Coturnix japonica: one gene and its partners. The protein of the gene in region 6 interacts with the protein of the main gene of each other region in a biochemical or structural test. Links are inferred from orthologs where the notes say so. Each region holds a gene or a part of one and is shown on either strand. Other genes may lie near its edges. The genes, in order: RASA1, YES1, FNBP4, ITK, HCK and KHDRBS1.

Evidence for each region.
Region 1: the proteins of KHDRBS1 (region 6) and RASA1 form a complex in vitro, tested with the Homo sapiens proteins (2 studies listed by BioGRID). The link is inferred for Coturnix japonica from reciprocal best matches to the Homo sapiens genes KHDRBS1 and RASA1.
Region 2: of the proteins of KHDRBS1 (region 6) and YES1, one has a biochemical effect on the other in vitro, tested with the Homo sapiens proteins (2 studies listed by BioGRID, with this or other methods). The link is inferred for Coturnix japonica from reciprocal best matches to the Homo sapiens genes KHDRBS1 and YES1.
Region 3: the proteins of KHDRBS1 (region 6) and FNBP4 form a complex in vitro, tested with the Homo sapiens proteins (2 studies listed by BioGRID and IntAct, with this or other methods). The link is inferred for Coturnix japonica from reciprocal best matches to the Homo sapiens genes KHDRBS1 and FNBP4.
Region 4: the proteins of KHDRBS1 (region 6) and ITK form a complex in vitro, tested with the Homo sapiens proteins (4 studies listed by BioGRID, with this or other methods). The link is inferred for Coturnix japonica from reciprocal best matches to the Homo sapiens genes KHDRBS1 and ITK.
Region 5: the proteins of KHDRBS1 (region 6) and HCK interact in a biophysical measurement, tested with the Homo sapiens proteins (2 studies listed by BioGRID and IntAct, with this or other methods). The link is inferred for Coturnix japonica from reciprocal best matches to the Homo sapiens genes KHDRBS1 and HCK.

The regions. Positions count from the first base shown.
Region 1 is NC_029547.1:54,365,730-54,369,971, forward strand, and holds the start of RASA1 (ras GTPase-activating protein 1), read right to left. Parts: upstream 2,801-4,242; 5' UTR 2,562-2,800; coding exon 2,173-2,561; intron 1-2,172. UniProt on the Homo sapiens protein: Inhibitory regulator of the Ras-cyclic AMP pathway. Stimulates the GTPase of normal but not oncogenic Ras p21; this stimulation may be further increased in the presence of NCK1.
Region 2 is NC_029517.1:91,945,449-91,949,745, forward strand, and holds the start of YES1 (tyrosine-protein kinase Yes), read left to right. Parts: upstream 1-1,497; 5' UTR 1,498-1,634; intron 1,635-4,297. UniProt on the Homo sapiens protein: Non-receptor protein tyrosine kinase that is involved in the regulation of cell growth and survival, apoptosis, cell-cell adhesion, cytoskeleton remodeling, and differentiation.
Region 3 is NC_029520.1:547,142-550,372, reverse strand, and holds part of FNBP4 (formin-binding protein 4), read right to left. Parts: intron 2,914-3,231; coding exon 2,795-2,913; intron 667-2,794; coding exon 562-666; intron 297-561; coding exon 163-296; intron 1-162.
Region 4 is NC_029528.1:13,136,375-13,139,874, forward strand, and holds part of ITK (tyrosine-protein kinase ITK/TSK), read right to left. Parts: intron 2,318-3,500; coding exon 2,236-2,317; intron 1,063-2,235; coding exon 934-1,062; intron 582-933; coding exon 541-581; intron 76-540; coding exon 1-75. UniProt on the Homo sapiens protein: Tyrosine kinase that plays an essential role in regulation of the adaptive immune response. Regulates the development, function and differentiation of conventional T-cells and nonconventional NKT-cells.
Region 5 is NC_029535.1:8,940,970-8,945,214, reverse strand, and holds the start of HCK (tyrosine-protein kinase HCK), read left to right. Parts: upstream 1-1,445; 5' UTR 1,446-2,231; coding exon of another isoform or gene 2,232-2,321; 5' UTR 2,322-2,476; coding exon 2,477-2,642; intron 2,643-2,781; coding exon 2,782-2,881; intron 2,882-2,965; coding exon 2,966-3,064; intron 3,065-3,214; coding exon 3,215-3,318; intron 3,319-3,628; coding exon 3,629-3,778; intron 3,779-4,035; coding exon 4,036-4,188; intron 4,189-4,245. Other genes in the region: CCM2L (cerebral cavernous malformations 2 protein-like), read left to right, coding at 40-178, 353-630. UniProt on the Homo sapiens protein: Non-receptor tyrosine-protein kinase found in hematopoietic cells that transmits signals from cell surface receptors and plays an important role in the regulation of innate immune responses, including neutrophil, monocyte, macrophage and mast cell functions, phagocytosis, cell survival and proliferation, cell adhesion and migration.
Region 6 is NC_029538.1:4,470,434-4,473,933, reverse strand, and holds part of KHDRBS1 (KH domain-containing, RNA-binding, signal transduction-associated protein 1), read right to left. Parts: intron 1,493-3,500; coding exon 1,365-1,492; intron 830-1,364; coding exon 713-829; intron 1-712. UniProt on the Homo sapiens protein: Recruited and tyrosine phosphorylated by several receptor systems, for example the T-cell, leptin and insulin receptors. Once phosphorylated, functions as an adapter protein in signal transduction cascades by binding to SH2 and SH3 domain-containing proteins.

The DNA of each region.
Region 1 (4,242 bases), on a different chromosome or scaffold from region 6:
TAATCTTAACTATAAATTCAATCATTATTCCTAAAGAATTATAGCAAACCTTTCCCTGTATAAGATTATAGATAATATTGATCTTTGTTTTGATAATAAATCAGGAGTTTAATTCCATAGAAGCAGATGGTACATCTACAAAGAAAGGGCCCTTCCAAAATAAAACAGCAGGACTGAGAGGATGCGATTTACTATCAGCATATGGCCAATCTGAATGACTTAAATAAGAACGATGAAAACTGACACCATAAAGGAGCTGAATGAGAGAGAAACACGGTTCTATTCAATCAATTTTTTATTGAAAAGTCACACTCCGAGGGTTATGTGGCAAAGGAAAAGCTGTTAAGAACACAGAGTAGGGAGGTACGTGTACATTTTCCACAATACTTGATTTGTTGTGAAGGATTCTCTTTTATGAAGAAAGCTCAGCTCACAGTTATGCCCTGGTTCTGCAAAGACTCCTGTCTCCCTTTTGTCTGAATAAGGTACTGTTAACCAGAGCAAATTAGGGCCTGCACAGCCTTCCCCTCAGCACACACTTGTCAAAGCACTTAAAGACAGACATCACTCCAGCACTTCAGTCACAGGACAATGCTCTGACAGCAAATCCCACTCCTATTAGCATATGTCCATATTGCATATTTAGGACCGAACAGGTGGTCATTTACAATCTGTCACCCCATTTCCTAAAGATACTTCCAAAAAGGACTCTCTCTCTCTGACTAACATAACTGGATCTAATGGAAAAAGCAGTCTGATCTATTTTCAGAGAGAAAACCAGAAGTACAGAATTGTGTGCTCCAGTGATTTGACAACCCTGAAGAAGTAATTTCACATTCGTGTGCCTCTATTTCCCTCCTGATCCTTTGTCAGAACTGCCTGATCATATTTCCAGCTCATTAGTGACGCCAGTCAAACACTGTTCAAACACTGCCTTAAGTTAGCAAACTTCTACAGAAAGTCAAGAAATCAGGAGATTACAGGGAAGACTGTCAAAGCGAGAGACATGAATTTAAAAGGGATTCATATCGGTACATTTTTATGTCCTCCTGATGACTTTAATGATTCCTGAAATCATGGAAATACACGAATGGTGCAGAAGTCTCTTAAGAGTGGTACTGGGAAAGAATGTAACAAAGAACCCAAACTCAGATGGGCTTTCAGGTCGTCCTTCTGATCCACGCCTTGAAACTATCTACCAACCCTCATGGTTTCACACAATCAGACTCCTTAAGGTTGGAAAAGCCCGCTATGAACATCTAGCCCAACTGTTTCAGTACCTTGAAACCTTACATTATCTACTATCCTCAGGAAACTTCAGGAACAACACATTTCTAGACACTACTTGGTGCAACCAATAGAGCTTCTGAAGCAACTCCATTTTTTAAATAGCCAGGCACCCTCCCAGAGAACTGTTTTCTGTACTGAAACGGGGCTTGAGGTGCTACACACAAACCTGCAGACTTCCTATGCTTCAGCCCAAAGGTTGTGCATGGAGTGCTCATTAATTACACAAACTACACACAGCATTATCTGATCCTACATTTTTCACACAATATAAATTGAGAACTGCTCTGCTCAGAGTGCGAAATTCTGTTACCAGCACCACAGGACATCCATTCACCTTAAAACAGAGATAACAGAATGAAATCCAACAGGAGGTTTGCAGGATTTTCACCTCTGCCTCCTGCCTCCATACAGACAAACCAACATCAGCCTCGCTTTAAACTGGCTGAGCAGCAAAGTCAGGCGCTATTCTGTAAGCACAGCCCGCCCACTATTTTAAAGTAGAAGAAGAATTCTACTCATTTCCAACCCGCGTTCCAGAGTGAGCAAACCTCACCCTCCCTACTCCACGAAGGCAAACACGTGCGTGCAACCTTCGTGATATTCCTGTATGAAATAACAAAAAGGCTGGGGTGTTCTTTGTGCTGTTCTTGTTGCTTTTTTTTAAGGTATAAACAACGGAATGCAAAGGGATGACACGAGGAGAGCAGCGCTTTGTACAGCGGGGAGGTCTCCGCCTGTTACAAAGTTAGCGCCGCAGTCCCAGTCTGTCCGGGAGCCGCCCGGGCCTCCCCCCGCCGCACGGACACGCGGCGCTGCGCGGAGCCGCGCTCTTCCTGCGCTCCGGGAGCGGAACCGAGGGGGGTGGGGGGCCGCGGTACTTACTGGTTGGTGGGGGGCGCGTTCAGCGGGATGGCCACCTCCTCCTCCTCGTACTCCGGCCCGTCCAGCGAGTCGCCCTCGTCCACGGCCGCCAGCCCTCCGGCCGGGGGTAGGGGCGGCGGCGGCGGCGGCAGCGGGGGGAAGGCGGCGGAGCCCGGCTCGCTGGGCGGTGGCGGGGCTCCCGTGGAGCCGAGCGCCAGCAGCCCGAGCGCCGAGCACAGAGCCGGGCCGGCGCCCGGGCTGTCCCCGCCGGAGCCGGAGCTGGAGCCGGGCGCGAAGGGGCCCTGCGGCCCCGGTGCTTTGCCTCGGCAGTGCCCCGGCTCGGCGGCGGCCGCCGTCCCGGCCGAGGTAACCGAACCGCCGTCCTCAGCTCCGGCCTCGGCCGCCATCATGTTGAGCCTCGCCCCCCCTCCCGTCCGCCGCTCGCCCTCCCGCCCGCAGCCGCCGCCGCCGCCGCACGCCGGGGAGGTGGCGACAAAGGGGCCCCGGCCCACCCCGCCCCGGCGGGGAGCGGAGCCGGGACGAGGGCAAAACTGTCCCGGCGGAGACGGGCCGCGAACAATACCCGGCTGGGCGGGGGCTGCGCGCTCACGGCGGCTCCGCAGGGCCCCGGCGCGGCTGCCTCGGCCCCGCCGGCCGCCAGGGGAGCGGCTCGGCCGCCCCGCGCTGTGCCCGCCCCCGTGCGCCCGCCAGCCGGGAGGGGGGAAGGACGGAGGCGGTGGGACGGGCCGCGCATGTGCGCCGCTCCCCAGCCTCGTCCCTATGAGCGCGTGCGTGGAGCTGGGCGGGGCAGGAGGGGGAGCGGCCGCACCGCGTGGGGGAGGAAAGTGCGGGGTAGGAGCGGCCCGAGCCGCCATGGTGTGCGGCCAAGGGGCGGCCATGGTGCGCCCTGAGGCTGAGCTGCCTTTGGGAGGGAAAATAGAAGAAAGTATGGGGAGTAAAAGCCAGGAGAGGCGGCAGGTGGCGCGGGGGCACGGCGGGAAGGGACGGCGCGATCGGGGCGTGCTGAGCCCGTGCTTTGTGTGTCCCCGTTATAGCTGCACCGCCGTGTGCTGCGGGAGGAGAACAGCGCATCGCCTGCAGCCGCTGTGTGACCGCACTGCCGCCCGTACTCCATTGCCGGTTACTCCGTTACCGTGCTGATACTTCTCTCATTATCTTCTTTTTTTCTTCTTCTTCTTTTTTTCCCTCCCCCCCCATAATAAAAGAGCTGACAAATAGCAGCACGTTGACACTTGCACGCCTCTCCAAAGTTCTCAGGAGGCATCTAAACATTCAGGTTTTCAAAGCCTTGTGTTACCAAAAGAATTAAGTGAATTTCTCCCCAGGCCACTAAAACAAACTCCTACTCGCGCTTCCACCGCCCTGCAGACAAACCTCCTTTTATCTGCCGAAACGAACCTTCCTATCTTGCCTTCTGAAGGCAGGATCCCATTCCAGGTCCTGCAGCGCTGCGAGTACCCGTGGGACTCTGCTGGGCTCGTGCCCGGTGTCAGAGCAGACGCTGTCTGCGTCCCTGGGCTCACAGAATGGCAGCGCGTTCATGCCCTGCTGTGCTGGTAAAGAAATTACAGTCTCAACAGCCATCTCTTACGGGCTTGGTTTCCACGTTGCCATATTTCAATCGGATATGTAATTCCACGTTGTCTTGCAGCCCACTGGCTCCGTGGGCTTCTGTTTAATGCTGTTTGCTTTCTCCTACGGGTTTTTAAATAAAAGGATTTCAGCACAGTCTTGTTGTTAAAATGATATTCCTAAACATAGAGCTGCAGTGTAAATATTTATGATTGCTTCGACGAAACACGCTTTTTTAACTGACTTAAAGGGGCAACAGCATGCGCATATAAGCATGGAGACCAGGGCATCTGTGCTCTGAATTTCCTGCAGCACTCCTCCAATAGATTTAATCTGGGTAGAGCAGTTCTAAGTGTGGCAAGGGTTCCACAGAAAGGTAATTTCTTGTGAGACTGGCCGAGTTGTTTCACCCCTGCCCCTGACACGCTGCTTCTTTCTACTTTGCCAGCAAAGTCATCTGCCCCGGGTCACTTGCATTTCCTCTTTTTTAAGACTTTC
Region 2 (4,297 bases), on a different chromosome or scaffold from region 6:
TTGCCCATGTACAGGAAAGGAAAACACAAGCAATAGTGGAGGTCAGCCATATAAGCTTGGAGAACTGCTGCAAGCCCTGACTGTGCTGGGAAGCAGTGACCAGACCTAGAGCTCTGACTGCTCCTTGGTTAAATAATTCATCACCCAGAGCAATTTGTAAGACTCGTTGTTGATTTCTAAATTAAAAATCAATTCCGCAATAATGTGATTTAGGCTCCTAACAGGACAGGAAAATGATAAACTCCACCACTCTAACAGGGTTACATGAGTATTATTTATGGTAAGGAGCATCACAACCTGAAACACTTTTGTGTTATTATTTTATATTATTTTTTATATATAAAACTGTTAACTGCCTAGTGTATTTATGGTCTTGTAAAAGCAAATACTTGTATTTGACTTCAGCTAAAAGACAAATGGTTTTACTCTCCATCATTGCCTAGAAATGGAACCTCCTGCTTGATTGTTTTAAAGAGTAAGTGTACATTGTATTAGATTCTCATTATGGACCAATACAATTATCAGTCAGCCTTCACACCAAATAAAGGTGCAAGAGACATAAATCTAGCTATTAATGAGCTGAAAACTAAGCTAATCCTGAATGACAGCCACCAATCTGACTGTGTAAACTTTAATAATCTGGGTTCCTCGGGGTGTTTTTCTCTCAGTCCTTCCTGTAGTCACTCAGTATCATTAAGGCTAGAACAGAACACTAAGAACATCTAACCGTGACCCCATCCCCACCATGCCCACTAACCATGTCACTCAATGCCACCTTTACACATTTCTCAACCATCTCCAGGCACAGTGACTCCACCACCTCCCTGGACAGCCTGTTCCAATGCCTCACCACTGTTTCGGAGCAGAAAAATTTCCTACTATGCAACCTCAGATGCCCAAGGCCAGGTGATTCAGCCTGGATATTTTGATTAACTGGCCTGACTTCTGAAAGATGGCCTCAGAAGACACTTGAAGAGCCTTTATCTTGAAGTCCATCGTGACACAAACCCAACTTTCCTTTTTCAAACACCCGACGCTGACCTCTGCCACTGAGACCAGCGGGATGTCCCTGTCTGACTCAAACCTATAACACACACCAAGCCTGCGTGGTTATAATTTCTCCACGCCTTTCCCACGGCAGGCAGAAGAGCTTAGAGCTGAAGCCACACACCTGAACGGCGTCAAGCAGGGGGAAGGCAGCCCGAAGGCCGCCCCGATGTGGAGCTGCCCCTCATCTCGCGGCCGCCACCATGTTGTCTCGGTGCGCGGCGCCGCCGAGGAGGGGTCCGCCCGGCTCCTCCCCGCGGCCTCTGATCGGGCGGGGAGCTTCGCCAAGCCTCACCCGGGCGCCCGCGGGCAGCGGAGAGAGGCGGGGAGCGGTGGAGGAGGGGCCGGAGGTGCCCGCCGGAGAGCCCGGCCGTAGGGGCGGGGAGTCTCCTCCTCCCGCCGCCAGGCTCCGGCTCCTCGCACGCACCGGAGCGCCCGGCTCCCTCCTCCTGCTCCTTTTCCCTCCTCCCTTCCCCTCCTCCCCCCCTTCCCTCCCCGGGTCGCCGCGGCTCCGGGAGGAGCGGGGGGGGCCCCGCTTCCTTTCCTCTCCCCCTCCTTCTCCCACCCGCGCCGGCGAGGACGGGCAGGTGAGCACCCGGCCGCGGCCCCGTCCCCCCCCCGCCCCGCGGGAGAGGCGGCCGCGATGGCGGCGGCGGCGGCGGCGCCCGGCTGAGCGCTAGGCCCCGGCCGCCCGCGCCCGCCCTCGGCCTCTCCCCGCGGGGCCGCCCGCTTCGCCCCCACCCCGGGGAGGGGACCTCGGTCCCTTCGCACAAAGTTTCTCGGCAACTTTCTGCCCGCCCCCGGCCTCTCCCCGCGGGGGGCTCGGCCATGGCCGCTCCGGCTCCGGGCGCTGCTGGAACAGCGCAGGAAACGCGTTCCCCCTTCGGCTCTCGCTCGGCCGTATGTGTGTCGTTATGTGCTGTTTTTTTCGCTCGGTTCTCGGCTCTGTATCGCTCCACCTAGCAGCAAGGCGACTGCTTTAAATTTCTGAGTCATTAATTTAAATATGCCATCATAACACTTCGTCAATCCCCCTCGTGTTCCTGGCGGTTTAGGTGGGGAGGGGAGGGAAGGAAAGTCCCATTCCTGTAGTGCTACTTTCTTTCTCCGTGTGAAGTTATGTGCAGGAGAACGGCTGGCGCATTATTTTTTTCCCCTCTCTCTTACATGGCATTAAGTACGTTGGTTTATTGCATGTGTTTCAAGATGGGACCTTCCAGACGTCTGATGTGGCACGTATGTGCCACTTTGTATCGGGAATAACTGGGGTGTAAATGTATCTGATCCTCTCAGAGGCTGAGGAGGTTTCTCCAGGCCTACCTGCTGCATTTAAGCCAAGACAGAGGGTAGCATTAGTTACAAACAGATATTTGAATGTACCAAAATGGGCAGGATGGTCCCCAAGTGGTTTAGAACATAGAGCGTGTAGCCAAGGGAAGTGTGTTGTATTTCTCTTCATAGTTCATAGACAACTGAATGAAATTTCAGGCAAGTTTTGCAAGCAAAGTTGACCTTTAGTCAAGGAAATGAGATACAAAAGTTTACTTTGGAGCCTTCTCTTTCATTTTTGAAAGGTATAACTGGGAAGAGGGGTTTACCATTAAGTTGTGTTGTCAGTTACGTTTGCAGTGTGTGAAGTACAACATTGCCATAATTCAGTGTTACTGCAGATTTGATAGAAGAGTAAGAATTGTTCCTTTCCAGCTGACAAAACAGAATACAGAATCATAGGGTTGGAAGGGACCTCTGAAAATCATTGGGCCCAACCCCCTGCTAAAGCAGGTTCCCTATAGTAGGTCGAGCAGGAAAGCCTCACACTCGCGCCTGTTTTTCCAATGCATGTTTGTGAATTTAGCTCTAGGATGTTCCTACTGAACATGCGCATGGATCTGGGTGCTCTGTACAGCCGGGGCTTGAGGGTTAATCTCAGAATAAGGTACCCGTTGTGTGATGAACAGAGGGAGCAGTGCTGAGAGGGTCTGTGCTGGATTTCAGAGGACAAAAAAACACGATACTGAACGTGAGACTGTGGCTATGGTTGGTAGCATTGCTTCCCTATGATTATTTTATTCCACAGGTTTTGTTAGCTTTATTTCCTCAGGAAGAGCAGCTCAAGTGCAACCACAACATCTGCGTGCCTGTCGCTCCCTCTTGTATGTAAGTCTTCCAGCTGTCAGCCAATCTCAAACACATTTGGCAGCAGAGGTCTCCCAGGTTGGAATATTTCTATGGAATTCTATTGGAATTAAGGAAGGTAGGTAGGAAAGAGCTTTTAACCCGCACGCCACAGAGTTCACATAATCATTTCTCTTAAGCTGGAAACCGATGCAGGAAATCAGACTTCCCTGGTTTTGCCTGCTCTCAGGGCTACTTGTGCAGTTATTAAAAACTCTTAATTTTTGGACCTTGGTATTGCTATTTGGAATGAAAGTGAGCCCTAGATTAGCTTTGATCTGTATTTCATAATATGAAGAGGGTTTTTGATTGATTGATTTGTTTCTAATGTATCCAGGGAACTGTTAGGTAGTAAATGAAACAATGGAATGATATTAGAAGTGTATCGGGATTGCCAGTTTGTTTGAAATAGAGAAATATCATAAAATCATACTTAATCTTTGCTGCTGTGTTCGCTGATAAATGCCTGTTGTCACATGACAGGGATGTGCACATCCGTGTTGGTTCATGTGGCCAAAGTTTGCTTTAGGAACATGTGAGCTGCACAGTTTTACTTTCCTGTGTGCTCCGCCCATGGACAAAAGCGATATGTTTTCAGCAGATAATTCCTCATGTTCAGACCTTTAGTTAAAAGAAACACATTCTTTCATCTTTATCCGCTATGCGGATCAAGCTGTTTTCCTTCCTTCTTTGAACACAGTTTGAGTAAGCTACCTTTATGTTAATTTTAAAACTGATGTCAGTATTAGCACAAATAATACTTCCAGAACTTATTGTGCTGTGTCATATTTAACAACCTTCTGTGAACGGGACACCTTCCATGCATAGTCAGGCTTCTGAGAAGCACTTCTGAAAGGTGTTGTGCTTCTAGCACCGAAGTCCTCTATTAGTTGACAGAATAGACTCAGTGCTGAGAGAGAAATGTGGCTTCTGAAACTAAAAAATAGGGCTTAATTTTTGACCTGGAGGACCAACCTTGGGCTGTGAGAAGATAGCTCATTCTCTGTATTTATTGTGGTTTTGTTCTTAGAATCAGAGAATCATAGAATTACCCAGGTTGGAAAAGACCTCAAAG
Region 3 (3,231 bases), on a different chromosome or scaffold from region 6:
GCGGCCGGCTCAAACTCTGTAAGTGCCGCAAGTCGCTCTGCCTGCCCAGCACTGCTAACGGAGTCTCCGAGAGGGACGGCGCCGCGTCGTCAGGTGGTGATGGTCACAAATCATGTCTGAGATGTCAGAGATGAAAGGTGAGAAAGGTAGGAGAGGGCGTACCTGTCCCAGTGGCAGGACCAGCCTTTAGGGGTGGCGTTTATTTCGTATTGTTTTAGCTGTTCGGCTGCATCTTGGAGTTTGCGTTTGAGGTAGTTTCCATTGAGAGCACCTTCTCGCCAGTCTGCAATGCGGGTCTAGAGGGGGCAAGAACCGGGGGGAAGCCGTTGAGGGGAGGAGCTGCCGGCAGTCCCAGGGACGGGACTCAAGGTCTGGGAGAGGCTCCCTTATGGCACAGGACTCGAGGGGCTGGGAGGAGGAGCCCGCCTCTGCGCAAAGCCATGCTCGCGCCCCACCGAGGATGGGCCCTGCGGTGCTGGAGCCACGAGCTTCACGCAGCGCGCGCACAGCGGGATCCGCTTGGAGATGGAAGGCCGGAACGAGGGGCGAAGGCTCGGTTACCTCTGTCTGCAACAGCAACATGTGGAAGTTGGAGACAGATTGTCTGTTGATGCCCAGGAACTCCAGTTTACTAGTCAGAGTGTTTGCCAGCTCTCCGATCTGAAACTGCCGGGGAGAAAGGGGGGAAGAGTCAGCAGCTGCGCTTGGGCACTGTCGCCGGGCTGCCATGCCCACTCCGGAATGTCCCTGGGGTCCCACTGCAGTCCTGCGGTGAGGATGCATGCCCTGCTCCTGTGCTGGTCGCTCCCTCTGCCCAGCCCACTCCCTCCCGCAGCCTCTGCTGCTTCCTGGGGACCATTCCCTACTACTAGCTGCAGCTCCTGGCTCCAAATCAGCCAAAGGGCCTGGCGTCACAGCAGAGCAAACGCAGATCGCTACATCATCAAATACTTCAAGTGCTTCCCAAAGGAAATGGGACAGGATCCATCTTTTAGCCTTTGCAAATCACTGCTTTCCAGACAGTGCCGAGAAAGGCACCAGCTCCAGATTTACTCCTGAGCTGAGGCAGCATCTGCATTACAATCCAGCCCACGGTAAGCACAACTCAACTCCAGCACCCCACGGGAGCTCTATGAGGGGACGTGCCCCGGGGGAGCAATCTGAAGGCAAGGGGTGAGCTGGGAAGCAACAGAGAGCAGCAGAGATGCCTGCAGGGGGACATCACAATTGCTTGGAGAAGGACTCTGAAACCATTCCATTTTCTATGGTTCTGCAGAAGAGACCTTGGAAAGTTCCCAAAGCCAACAACAGGACCGGGCTGATGAGCCATGCTAGAGGAGCCCGAGGCAGGGAAACAAATTCCCGCACTGCAGTCCCTATGAAGAAGGCAGGAAGGTCTCAAATGAGGGGACGGCTCCGCAGCGCAGGATCTCCTACAAACCAGGCTGAAGAGGATGACCCCGAACCGACGAAGCGAACGGAGCAAGTTACCCAAGGAGCCGGCATTCCTCCAACAGCGCTAAAGGGATCCTGCACGTGAAATCACCACGCTACGGCACACAGTCCATCACACAGAGCACCTCCAGCACCAGAAGAAAAGGTGACAGCAAATGTGACACTTTAACAGGCTACCAGCAGCTGGCTGGGATGCAGCAGCCAATGAGAACAATCCTCGCCACAGGCTCTGTTGTGTTTTTTTTATCATAAATTAGAAACCCACAAAAGCCTTGTGCCCATCTGTGCTACACGCTGGAGGAGGTTTTGTGCACAGAACGTCACATCACACCTCAAAACCCTGCTAAGAGTTTTTTTTGACAGAGGTTAAATGTGGCACAAGGATGATAAAGCCCTTTCACGCTGTAAAAATGATTAAAATTAGGGGAAATAAGGGCAAGGTTACACGTGAGTTTTCTCAGCAGAACATTTCCTGGGGGGTTCTACTGCAAGCCAGAGACTCCTCGTCCACAAACTGTCTGGCAAAGGGAGGGATGCAACCTGCTAATGAAGCAGATCTCAGTAGCAAGCGACTGAGGAATGAAGGGGACAGGTTGCAAAGGACAAATAGGGAGATGCCCCCTGTCCTCCTGCATAGCCATCAGCAGAGCCTGAAGCTCTGTGTGCACGCATTACGGCTCAGGAATCAAAGAATCACTAAGGTTGGATAAGACCTCTGAAAGATCAAGTCCAATGTCAACCCATGCCCATGGAGCCCATTAGCCACGTCCCTCAGTGCCACAAGCCTACATTTCTTAAACACGTCCAGCAAGGGGTGCTGGGAATTGTTTGGCTGCTTAGAAAAATGGACTGAACCTCAGAAAAGAATGTACCAGAGCAATGGTGTGGGAATCACCTGTTTGCATCCAGCAGCCCATCGCTGCTTCATAAAATAAAGCTAAGCATGGAGCAGGAAGACCAGCACTAGCAGCATCTGGACACAGATTGCTTATGGACAAGGAGTCTTGGGCCTAGAAACTGATGGGGTGTGTGAGAGAGAACACTGCAAGACCATTACAGCAAGAACTTAAGGCAAAAGTCTTTGTTCTCTCTCGTGGCAAGAGTGCGAATCATTCATTCTGCCTCTATCCTCCTTTTCTCTTTTGAAAAAGCTCCTTTGAAGCCTCTGCTGCTGGCTCCTGCTGGAGACAGGGCATGAGGCTACAGAGATGCTGGCCTGATCCTGCACAGCTGCTCTGCCACAGGGTGAGCTGGCCCCACTGTCCCCTTCAGGACCCCAGGACCTGCTGCCGTCCCTGCCGCACAATGGAACACATCACACGTCTGTATAGTTCCATACCTTTAGGTCCTGCTCCTCCTCTTCTATTTTTGGTGCCACTTGTGCTTTGACTTTCTCCTGGGGCTCCTCAGACTCTGCCTCTTTGTCTGAAGGCCCATCAGCTGCTTCTGTGCTCACAGCTGCAGGAGAAAAAACAAGAGGTGAGCCTGTCAGCCACAGTGCTGTCCACACGCCTCGTATCACACTGAGGAGCCAAAGCCAGGGGCCTGTTTCCTATGAGAAAAGCCTGAAATTTAAAAGCAGAGAGGGCTGCAGCCCCTGTATGTCAGATGGTCGTTATCCTTCTAGAAAGAACACACGGGACTCAGTGAATGGCAGCTGCCACAACACAAGGATGAGGAACAGAGAGGAAATGCTGAGCGCCAGCAGCCAAGCGACCAATCGTTGAACTCCTGCAGGTTAATAGTTTGTTACAAAGAAGCATCAGGTATTAAAAG
Region 4 (3,500 bases), on a different chromosome or scaffold from region 6:
CAGCTCCTGCGGATTCTGGGCTTCATAGTCATATATGGCCATGACTAAGGTTTCCTTTGTGTTTAGCAACGATTTCTATACCAATTAGGAAAAAGGCTCATCATATTCATGTTTATAAATATCAATGGCATGCTCTCTGAAATGATATTCCCCTGACAACACTGGTGTGCTCTGTACAGCCTGCTGGGCTCAGTACCTCAAGGCGAGGAGAGCACCCCAGGAGCTTGTGAAGTTACACTGGCAACGTGGCATTTTAAGCATTATCAAGCAATGGTTTTCATACATAATTCCACATGCACAGAAAACAGTTGTCTAGTTCTTCTTTAAGGCATCGGGCAGAATCAATCCTTTCTGATCTGATTTTCACAGTTGTTTCCTAAACTACCATTAAAAGATGCCAGTGATAAAATCTCCTTGCTCTTCTTAGATGGACATAACAACCTCACAGCTCCTCACTTCTTACTGTGACTTTTTCCACCCACAAGTGGGTTTGGAAAGCTGCTTTACTAAGGACAGCATTGTATGCCTTGATGCACTCACCCAGTTATCTTCAGGAGTGGGAGGAAGAGGCTTCTTTGAGGCTGAAATGAAATCAAGAAAGCTAATTTGAATCAGATATAGACAAACCCTACAGAAATAGAACAGCAAGCCTTGGTTGTTTAGAGTAAGATGCACCAACAGCTGCACCTGCACGGGGACTCTCAGCAACATAACACGGGTTTGAAACTGATGTGCAGATTGTATAGGGAATCGCAGAAATACAAGGGGGGGAAAAGTCTTCAGTGTAAAATGATTGACTTCCCTATCTGCCAGCATTACTTTGATGTTTATACTACAGAGGAAATATGGGAAGGACAAAATAGATTGAATCTTTTACTTTTTTCTAGGAATAAATACTTTCAGGGTCAAGATTCTCTTAACGAAAACTCATACCGGTTTTGGTGGGGTCATACTCTAAACAGCCAACTGCCATCTTCTCTGTCTGAGCACAGCATCTCCACTTGCCATCTATCCAGAAATCTGGATGGTACTTTGAGACCAAACTGTTGTTGCTCCTGGTTTCTGGAAAGAGTTAGAGTAAGAGAAAAAAGGAGGAAAAAGTGGATTTGTTTGTACTGACATAATCTCTGAAAGGCACATAGAACTGAACAGAAATAATCTGCACGTAAGGACCTTATTTTCTTTTTCGAACCATTATTCTTCGTGAATATTATTAGCCTCCTCTATTTCTCTCTTCAAACTGTTAAACACCAAAACCACAGAAAGAACAATTCAAAAACAGAAAGAAAACCTGGTACACCAGGTACTGATGATTCTCATAGCAAACTGCATCTCTGCAGGATGTATAAACGTAGGACACAGACTCTGCTGCTTTGGCTCAGTGTTCAGAGGGAGATGGACCAGTTGGGATTCACCAGCTCTAAATATTTTTGCACATGTAGATGCCAGCTGTGAATCTCTGTATGAGCAATCAAAGGTCCTTCTGTTTGAAACTATTTGCCATAATAATTCTCTTGAAAAGAATAAAGAAAAAAAGGAGAAAAAAATGATCCTGGCCTGTTTCTACTTGGTCAAGTCAAATAAAATTGTTGTTGATCACTCAGATTGTCTCAACATGCTGAACTAGAGGAGGCGATAAAACAAAAACTTGGAACAGGTACACCCTCAAAGGGGAATAACTGACTGTAAGACTAAGCTTAATAATAACACAAACAGGCTCAATGTTTTCAAAGTGAACTAAACATCAGCTCACGCTACAAAGGAGGAGAAAGCTATGAGGGAATAAGGGTGCAATTTTCATGTAACTAAACAACCTTTTCCTTCTGCACCCAGCGGTTAGTTATTGTACCTTCACTTCAGAATCATTGTAATGAACCACAGAACAATTCAAGAAGCGAACAGGAAATGAAAGCTACCCACAGAAATGTTTCTTAATAATCATGATTCTCTCAGAAGGTTGTCATCTAAACAAAGTAGCTATTAATCAGTGATGAGAAATCTTCTACCCAGAAAATATTAAGTGTTATATGCCGAAGTTTTCTAAAGCTTTTGAAAACACACCCACAACATCTGCAAATGTATTTGACTCCATAGCTGCGTTCTCAGTGACCACTTTGCTTGGTTAGATGTAAGAAAACAACTTCTCTTGTATGTTTTCTTGGCATTTTAGCTGTGGAGAAAAATGACCTGGGATAAGAAACTTCAACAATTAAGTAGGCTTAGGGGTTCTGTTACCTTCCTTCAGTGTAAAGACCCATCTCTGCCGGCTCTCACGATTGGGTGCGAACACGTAGAGGATGTAGTTATCATGGACAATCTGTAGATGGGAATAAAGATGGGAACCAGCCATTAGAAACAATCCTGGGTGTACTGGGCATGGTGGAACCATGGAAAGAAACAGGCAGTAACCCCCATATCAAGTACGTAAATCCCTGAAAAACAATGCTGTGTACAAGTGGAGTATATAGCGCCTGTTCAGAGGTATCCCATAACCTCAGTGCCTTTTACTTATCTAAAACTGAGTACAAAACTCAATCAAGAAAGAATTTTAGATGAGCAATTTTATTTTAAATCAATTTTTTGTTGAAATGACAGTTAAACCAATGGAAACATTACAACTTCAGTCTGCACAGAAGCCAGCCCACTGCATGCTGGCTATAGCCTGTTCTTCTGAAGCACCTACGAGAAAATTACTTAAGTTTCTCAGCTCTTTCTCTTAAATCACCTTCACTTAAAATATAAGAGCCAAATTTATCTTTTCTGGTCAATATGAATTCCAAGCAATGCCCCCGGGATTCACTGTACTACTATCACTCTAGAGTTTTTGATAGCTTTCACTAGGGTTATGGTGGGGAAATAAGAAACTAGAGCAGATGAGCAATGAGCATTCAGGATGCTGGTTTCATAAACGTGCCCTTAGTGATGAACAAATGACAGAAGAGAAATACAGAACATTCGTGAAGTTTCAGACTCAGGAGTGAAATCATCACAGGAACAAAAATGACTCAGAAACTTAATCAGATGACTACGTTTGGGCCTAAAATGTGATGTAACACATAATCTATGTTTCTTTTCCAATATTTATCCAAGAATTTATACCCAAATGAGACCCGATCTCTTTGATGCACAATCACTTTGAAAAAGCTTCAACCAATATCTTTAAACAGAGTTTTCTGTTTAAAGACAGCATCTGTTTTTTTCAGAGCTTAAAGCAGTGTAGATGAGGCAACGTTAATAACCGTTCAAATGATAGGAAGCATTTGCTATCTCTTGGCCTGATGCCCCTGCAGGCACACACAGACAGCTATGTGATTCAGTTGCTTTGTAGGCTATAGAGAGATAAATCATAACCTCTGTTTAAGAAAAAAAAAAAAAAAAAGGGGGGCAATAATTCCCACTCATTTTAAGACATTCTTGTGTCATTGTTTGTCAACATTTGTTCCTTCTCCCATCCATGCTTAACCAGGAAAGCTGCATTGTAATGTGGGAAGGGAAGAAAG
Region 5 (4,245 bases), on a different chromosome or scaffold from region 6:
CACCACCCCCAGCCCTGACCCATCCCTGTTTCCCCCCAGCTGCGCAACAAGTTGTCACCCCAGGAGATCCAGCAGTTTGCCCTGATGCTCCGTGAGTACCGGCTGGGCACACCAGTGCAGGAGTACTGTGCAGAGCTCCTACGCCTCTATGGGGACCGGAGGAAATTCCTCCTGCTGGGTGAGTGCCCCAAGGGTCGGAGTGGCTCTGACCAATGGGTCTGTCACTGTGCTACACCATCCATGTGTCCTTGGGGATGGGATGAGGGTGTGCACTGAGGGGTTGGTGGGACTCCATTGCACACAGATGGGGTTGGTGCAGTCACGCCATGAAACCTCATGGCATCTGTCGCAGGGATGAGGCCCTTCATCCCCGATCAAGACATTGGGTACTTTGAGACCTTCCTGGAGAGCATCGGTATCCGCGAGGGCGGCATCCTCACCGACAGCTTCGGCCGCATCAAGCGCAGCATGAGCAACACGTCGGCCTCAGCTGTGCGCAGCTACGACAGCTGGTCCCTGCGCTCTGAGTCCGAGTCCTTCAACCGCATGATCACCAACATCACACACGACATCGAGGCACTGGCACGGGATGAGGAAGAGGAGGAGGAGGAGGAGGACAACTACCTGTGAGGGAGGCACAGGTCACCATGGAAGGGACCAGGGCTCTGCTCTTGGCTGGGCTGATGGCATTTCAGGGCTGTGTTGGATCAGAGCAGCCCCCCACCAGCAGTGCTGAGTGCTGTAATTTTTGTAGCTTGCAATTAAATGTGTAAGATGGGGGTTGAAGCAGGTTCTTCCCCCATGCAAAGGGCATGTGTTGGGCAGGGGGTGAGCTGTGGCACAGGGGCAGTTCACGGATGGGATACCCACCCACCCACCCCAGTGCTGTGCCAAGCAGGCATGGGATGGGGTTCTCAGTGCAAAGTGGGGTCAGCACAGCTGTGCTGGGATGGGGGGGGCCTGGATGCACTGCAGTGATGCACCTGCCTTCCTACAGGATGGGGAGTGGTGGGGATGGCTGATCCTGGGCTGAGCAGCCCCAAGCAGGGGGCAGCACCTGTGCAGGCTGTGAGGGCTGCCCACAGCGAGTTATTTCCCTAAAAATGATGTATGTAAATCCTTATGCAAGTGAGGCACTCGGGTTTTCTCTTTACTCCTCCTGGGGGCACAGAACTGGGTGGTGACAGTGCTCTGGCCTCATCCTTCATCCCGTCCGTGCTGCACTCATCCTGCAGTGGGTGAGGGATGGCTGTACGGCTACCGGGACCGGGATGGGACAGGGAGTGTCGTACCGGGGGGGGCGGGGCCGCAACCATACCGGGTGGGGCGGGGCCACACCGGGACGGGGTGCAGAATCCACCGAGCTCAATGCGGTGGCAGCAGCAGTGGATTTGGCTTTGTGACAGGGACGGGGACCAGGACCCGTGACAGCAGCCAAGGTGAGAGAAGAGCCCTGAGGGCAGCGGGGTCAGGTGGGAATCAGAGCCCCTGGTAAAGGGCTGCCCTACACTGTCCCTGCCTGAGACAGCAGTGCCGCTGCAGAGCTGCCCTGTGCTGGGTCTGGCCCCTGTCCTGTCCCTGCTAGGTGTGGTGGCATCAGGATGGGGACCAAAGCCTGGGGATGGCAGGAGGGCAATGCCATTGAAGTTGATCCTGGGGTGCTGGGAGGGAGGAGGTGGTGATGTGGTGTCCCATCCTGTCCCCACGCTTGGACTCTGACACAAGAGCTGCAGAACATGTGGTGTGCCAGGGGATACTCATTGCTACCAGGTCACTGCATGGAACAGTGCCCCAAGACTTGGGGAGCTGGTGACTGTGAGGTGCTCAGCTACATCTGCTCTGTGCTGGAGAGCACAGTGGGCAAAGGTTCTGGAGTGAGGGTGGCACAGCTGGGAGGTGGCAGCAATGGTTTCTCGAAGGCTGTGGGACCGGGGTGGTGCTGTGCATGTCCCCCACAGGACCGCAGCCCTTTGCTTCCTCCTTTGCTGCACCCTTCTCCTTTCCCCATCAGACAGAGGGAAGTGCCTTTTGGGGGCTTCCCTGTACAATTGCTGCAGTTCTTACTGACCTTCCTTTGGGGGAGAGTCTGACTTTTGCTTTTATGGAGCCTGATCTGTTGGTGTGAACAGGGCTGTGGGCACCTGACTGTGCTGGAGTGGGAGCTGTGGGTGTGGGGCTTTTGGTGCTGTTGCAACGGCCCCACTTCTCCCCCCCTGACACACACACACAGGATGGGTTGCGTTAAGTCAAAGGAAGATAGCGTCCAAGAGAAGATGCAGTTAGGCCATGAAAAGAAGGACCCCACGTCTGGCAGCAAGCAAGTAAGTAGGAGATACGGTGTCCTGGGGGGCACAGGGGGCATGGAGCAACCTGGGTGGCAGCAGACACAGGGCTGGGGTGGGCAATGAGGTGAGAGTGAAGGGTCTGTCCCAGCCCACATTGATGAGAATAAAGGAATGTGGGCAGTCAGGGAGAAATGAAGGTGTTGAGGAAGGAGACGCTGCCAGTGCAAGGTGAGCTGGAGCTGGACAAGTGTCCAAGACCCCCCCAGGTCCCACTGTGTACCACCATGACACTCCCCTGTTTGTCATTCCATTTGCAGCATGATGAACACAGAGTGCCTGAGCCCCCACCGGCGGATGGTGCGTACACACAATGATGGGGAGGGGAGCACAGTGGGGTCCTCATTGGGAACAAACCCAATGGGGTGGGGGCTCTGTGCTTCCTGGTGGCAGAGACCCAGGGACCCTGGCAAGCACCCAGGAGCCAATCTTACTGCAGGCTCAGGTGACACCGTGGTGCTGGCACTATATGACTACGAGGCGATGCACTCTGGGGACCTGAGCTTCCAGAAAGGAGAGCGGCTGCAGGTCCTGGAGCAGTACGTGTCCCCTGCCCCACCTGTCCCTATGGCTCATGGTGCTGGCAGTGCCCTGTGCTGACCCATGGCCATCTGTGTCCTCAGGTCGGGAGAGTGGTGGCGGGCACGGTCACTGGTGACAGGGCTTAAGGGCTTCATCCCCAGCAACTTCGTCGCCCGAGCTAACTCACTGGAGGCAGAAGAGTGAGCATCCCACACACTCCCATTGCAGTCATCTCCAGTCATACCCCATGTTCCCATCAGGCCAGGATTAATGTCCTCAGCCCCAGCCTGTGCCAGCCTTGGCTTCCTGGCTCCTAGCAGCAGTTGTTGCTTGCTCTGTTCCTGCTGCAGGTGGTTCTTCAAGGATATCAGCCGGAAGGATGCAGAGCGGCAGCTGCTCGGCCCTGGGAACACATTGGGATCTTTCATGATTCGGGACAGTGAGACAACCAAAGGTACCAAGGGCTGAGGCGGCCCCAGAAGGGCCTCCCTTCTGTACACCTGAGAGAGACTCAATGCACCCTGAGGGCTTTGCTTTGCTGCCAGGCAGGGGCTGGGGCCCATCCTCCTGCTGCTGTAAGAGCATCCCTGTAAGAGCCCATGATGCTGCCCTGAGCCCCATGAGGAGATGGGATGTGCCCCCATGGGGCTGCCATTGCTGCCTGGGTCTGTGCTGGGGCCAGGCAGGGTTGATGCCATGCTGGTGGCTCAACCAGGAGCTGAGGGGATGCTGTCCCATGACACAGCTCGTCCATCCCTGAACAGGTTGCTATTCCTTATCTGTGCGGGATGGGGACAGCCTGCAGGGAGGCAGCATCAAGCACTACAGGATCCGGACACTGGATAGTGGTGGCTTCTACATCTCCTCACGCAGCAGCTTCGACACCCTGCAGGAGCTGGTGGAGCACTACAAGGGTGAGCTCTGGTACATTGCTCCTATTGAGACTGTGGCCACTCGGTGTCTCCCCCACCGTTACTGGCAAGGGTGTTGGTGGCAACAGATACTCATAGGGCCTGGGAAATGCCTGTCCCCATGCTTGTGCCCTGGCTGTGCTGTGCTGCACGGCAATGCTCAGCTGTGCTATGCTGCAGTAATGGTTATCTACACAAACTGATGCCCTACAGCCACAGAGCATGGAGCCTGGCTGACTGCGCTTGCTGCTCTCTGGCAGGGCAGAGCGATGGGCTGTGCCAGAGGCTCACCTACCCCTGCAGTGTGCCCAAACCACAGAAACCCTGGGAAAAAGATGCCTGGGAGATTCCTCGGGAGTCATTGAAGCTGGAGAAGAAGCTGGGAGCTGGGCAGTTTGGAGAAGTGTGGATGGGTGAGAGTGAGGGTGGTGAAGAAGGAAGGGTGAGGGATGGGAGAGGTGGTGGAAGGA
Region 6 (3,500 bases):
CCCCTACTGCCTGAGGTGTTCTTCACAGTGGAAGCGAAGTCTGATATCTCACTCATGCTCTAATTCTGCTCTTGGATATCTGTGTTATTCAGCTGGTTTTAAGAAGCTATAAATAAACTGGAGTGCAAAAACTTCTCAGGCTGCTGAAGTAAAAGCAGGAGGAAGTTACAGCCCCACTGACTGATTGTTAGCTCAATTTTAGGAGCAAGCAAATAAAAAAATAATCCATTTTTTTTCCTGCCCTGAAAGCCTCCTGGCTCTTTGTGATTCACTGAAGATCACCAGCAATGCACTGCTGGTAAACCATGAGAATTTACAGACCTCAGAGGGGACTGCTGGAAATGGGAAATGGTGGGTTTTTTCTGAAGGGGAAACTTATTACTTCAGCAAATGACATTTCAACAAGTAGGTAGAATTGGTTCTTACTTTAAAGACCTTGTTTATCACCTTCCATATAAGCTATCTGTACACCCGAGGTACAGTACATCAAAAGATGACGGGTTTCTGCAAGTATTGCTTATGGAGAAAGCATCCATCACACTGCTCTCTCAATTGAGAATGCTCCCAACAAGCACAGACCAATTTCACAAAGGTGAATTCCTACCGCCTTCGCTTTTCAATTCTGGTTTATAAAACGCTTTGGGAACATCTGCTTTTCACATCAGAATGAAAGGCATTAATGTATACTATGGTTTCAAAGGGTGGACATTACCTTTGCCTTATCTCGCATCGAACCCTTCCCGAGCACAGAGATCTTAGCACCAGTTTCTTCCTGAAGCCTCTTGATGGTGTTACCTTGAGGTCCCAAAATCTTTCCAACAAAGTTGAACTGTAAACAAAGAAGAAATATTTAGCTCCAAAACTCAATAACCTCAACGAGAGCTTCTCTCAATGTTAACCTGGATTACAAATTCAGTCACACCGAAAATAATTAGGCCAAAAACACAAAGGAAAATTTAAATTCCAAATTAAAATGCTCCCCCAGAAAATCAAACTAAATGAACTCACGGAAAACGAGCTTAATTCTAACTTCTATTCTAGCAGATTTACAGGCAGTCTTAAGAGTTAAACGTGGCCTTAACTGTAAAACACAGAGCTCTGCATGAGAGTCTATTCTTGTAAAGAAACATCACAACTGTGCATCACCATTTAGTTTATCCCTAGACATTCTGGAAACGTAAGACATGGAATATATTAGAAATAAGATCCTGCAAGCTTGCACAGGAAAAATTCCACAGTGATAGCGGCACACTGGCATAACTCCTGCTGCCACACTGACAGCCACTATCTCTAACATTCAGCCATAAAATCCATAGAAAACAAGCAAATCACAGAGATTCCATAAGCTGTTTTCTGGCCCTCACCTTGGGGTACTGTTTGACAGGTATCAGAACTCGTTCTTTCAGTTTCATATTCTTGTGAGAAAATAAATCCAGGTAGTTCTCTTCCTCATCCTTCTTTGTTGTTTCACCCTTCTGAATTTTTTCAATTTCTAAACAAGATAAAAATAGGGCTGCTTATATTCCTCAAACAAGCATCATTTTAGCGTTGGAATTGTACCAGGACGTACCACCCTCATCCTCTGTTAACACAGGAACATTGATCAGATTCATTTGTATGAATGGGATCTGGACAGACAGGACAGCCTATGTGCTGGCCCAGCTCACCTCTCCTTCCCTTCACACCTAAGGATTCCAGAAGGCCAAATGCAGGACAATGAATGATACCAGAGCAGCAGGGAATGCCCTACGATAACCTCATCGCTCAAGGGAGGAAAGTTAAGCAGCTGTGTGCATCCCTTGTGCTGTGCCTCCTGCTGTCCATCCCCATGCTCTTGCCCCCATGTGAGTGCAGCTCCCACGGCAGAGCCCTGACCCACACAGCACCCAGCCCAACCACATGGACTGAGTTCCTCTGCTTCAGTGCAGCATTGATCAGCAAAACAGGCAAATCTTTGGTAATTTTTTAAAGCTGATGCACCATTTTGAATCTGTCACAGAGCGGCATCAGCCAACACTGTGAATCCCAGTTATTTGACAGCATTCTTAATAACCAGAAGTCTCAGTCAGTGACAGCCCGGAGTTCAGACTGGATTCTGGAGCTGACAGTCCTCCCTCCAGGAATGCACCTTCATCACCAGCAATTCACAGCTTGAAGCAGGGAGCCCTGGGCACATGAGCCATCGAGATGCCCCAGCTTGATTCAACCAACATAACCACAAATGCTGACTGTCAAAGTAAGAGCCCCCCCTCCAAATGGATGCTGAGTGAGGACCCTTCCTTAAAGCTGAAGCACATCATTTCACCAGCAAACCCAGGAGCTATAAATATCAATTCTGATTCCAAAAGTGCTTCAAATACGATTCCCCACATCTCAGCGGGGAGGGAGCCACTTTCACAAGATCACACACAATTGGATCAGAGCTGCAGGGCAGCCTGCTCAGTTACCAGCATCTGCAGAGGGCAGCCGCGCTATCTCACCTGTCCTGCAATTTCTGCCCATGCTTTGCATTAAACGTTCATGTTTCCAGCTTTCAAAGGCTGGGTACCATCAGATGTTGGGCACACTGTCCACCCAGTGACGGTCTCAGACCCCAAACCCAGTCAGGCACAGCGGGTTATGGCTGTACAGCCTGAATGGAGGCACCTGGCACCTTCCAGCAGCCCCAAGGATGGGGGCTTCATACACACATATTCAGAGATCTAAGCACATAATTGAGTTATTACATTGCACAATCATAAAAAAAGCCTAATTTCTCCTTGGATCACTCCTAAGTGTGTCACCATGGCTCCTCAGTAAAAAAACAATACAGACGGATACAATCAGCTTTGAGGAAGATGGGTTGATTTTTGCTCTGCAAAGAAATGATCTCCTGAGGACAGAATAGAAATGCAGCTGGAGCTCTGTCAAGTCTGTAAAACAGAGCGAGGAGATGCCTGGGTCAGCTTCACACGCAGCCTTTTCATTGCAGCTGTAAGAACACATCAGAGAACCGGGATGTGGAACAAGCAGAGCACACTGCTGGGCTCAGCGCTGGGTAAGCACAGCTTTAAATCCTGCAGTACAGTGGGATCCTCTCTGCAATACTTTGGCTCTCCAAAAGCAGTGAGAATGTTTGTAAGAGTATTCTGCATATTAACAAAAAGGACTTTCTACACACATAATAATGAAAGCGCCCTTAGGCTGCCTTGCCAGAACAACGTGATCAGACTTCAGCCTCTGAAAAGCAAAGAATCGCACCCACAACACACAGCAAAACCTGATGCAACAGCAGCAACGCCTGGGAATGAGGCTGGGGGAGCAGCAAACAGTTAAAGCTGTGCTCAAAGCCTCAGCTCCAGCATCACCGATTCTGCAAGTGAAACCCAAAACCAGAGAGAAGAAAAAACCCTGACCCAAAAAGCAACCCGCAGAGCGCTCCGGCTTTCAATGTGGGTCAGTGCAGGTGGCCTCACGGTCTCCTTCACAGCACAGAAGGAACCCCCAAAGCTTTAAACAGG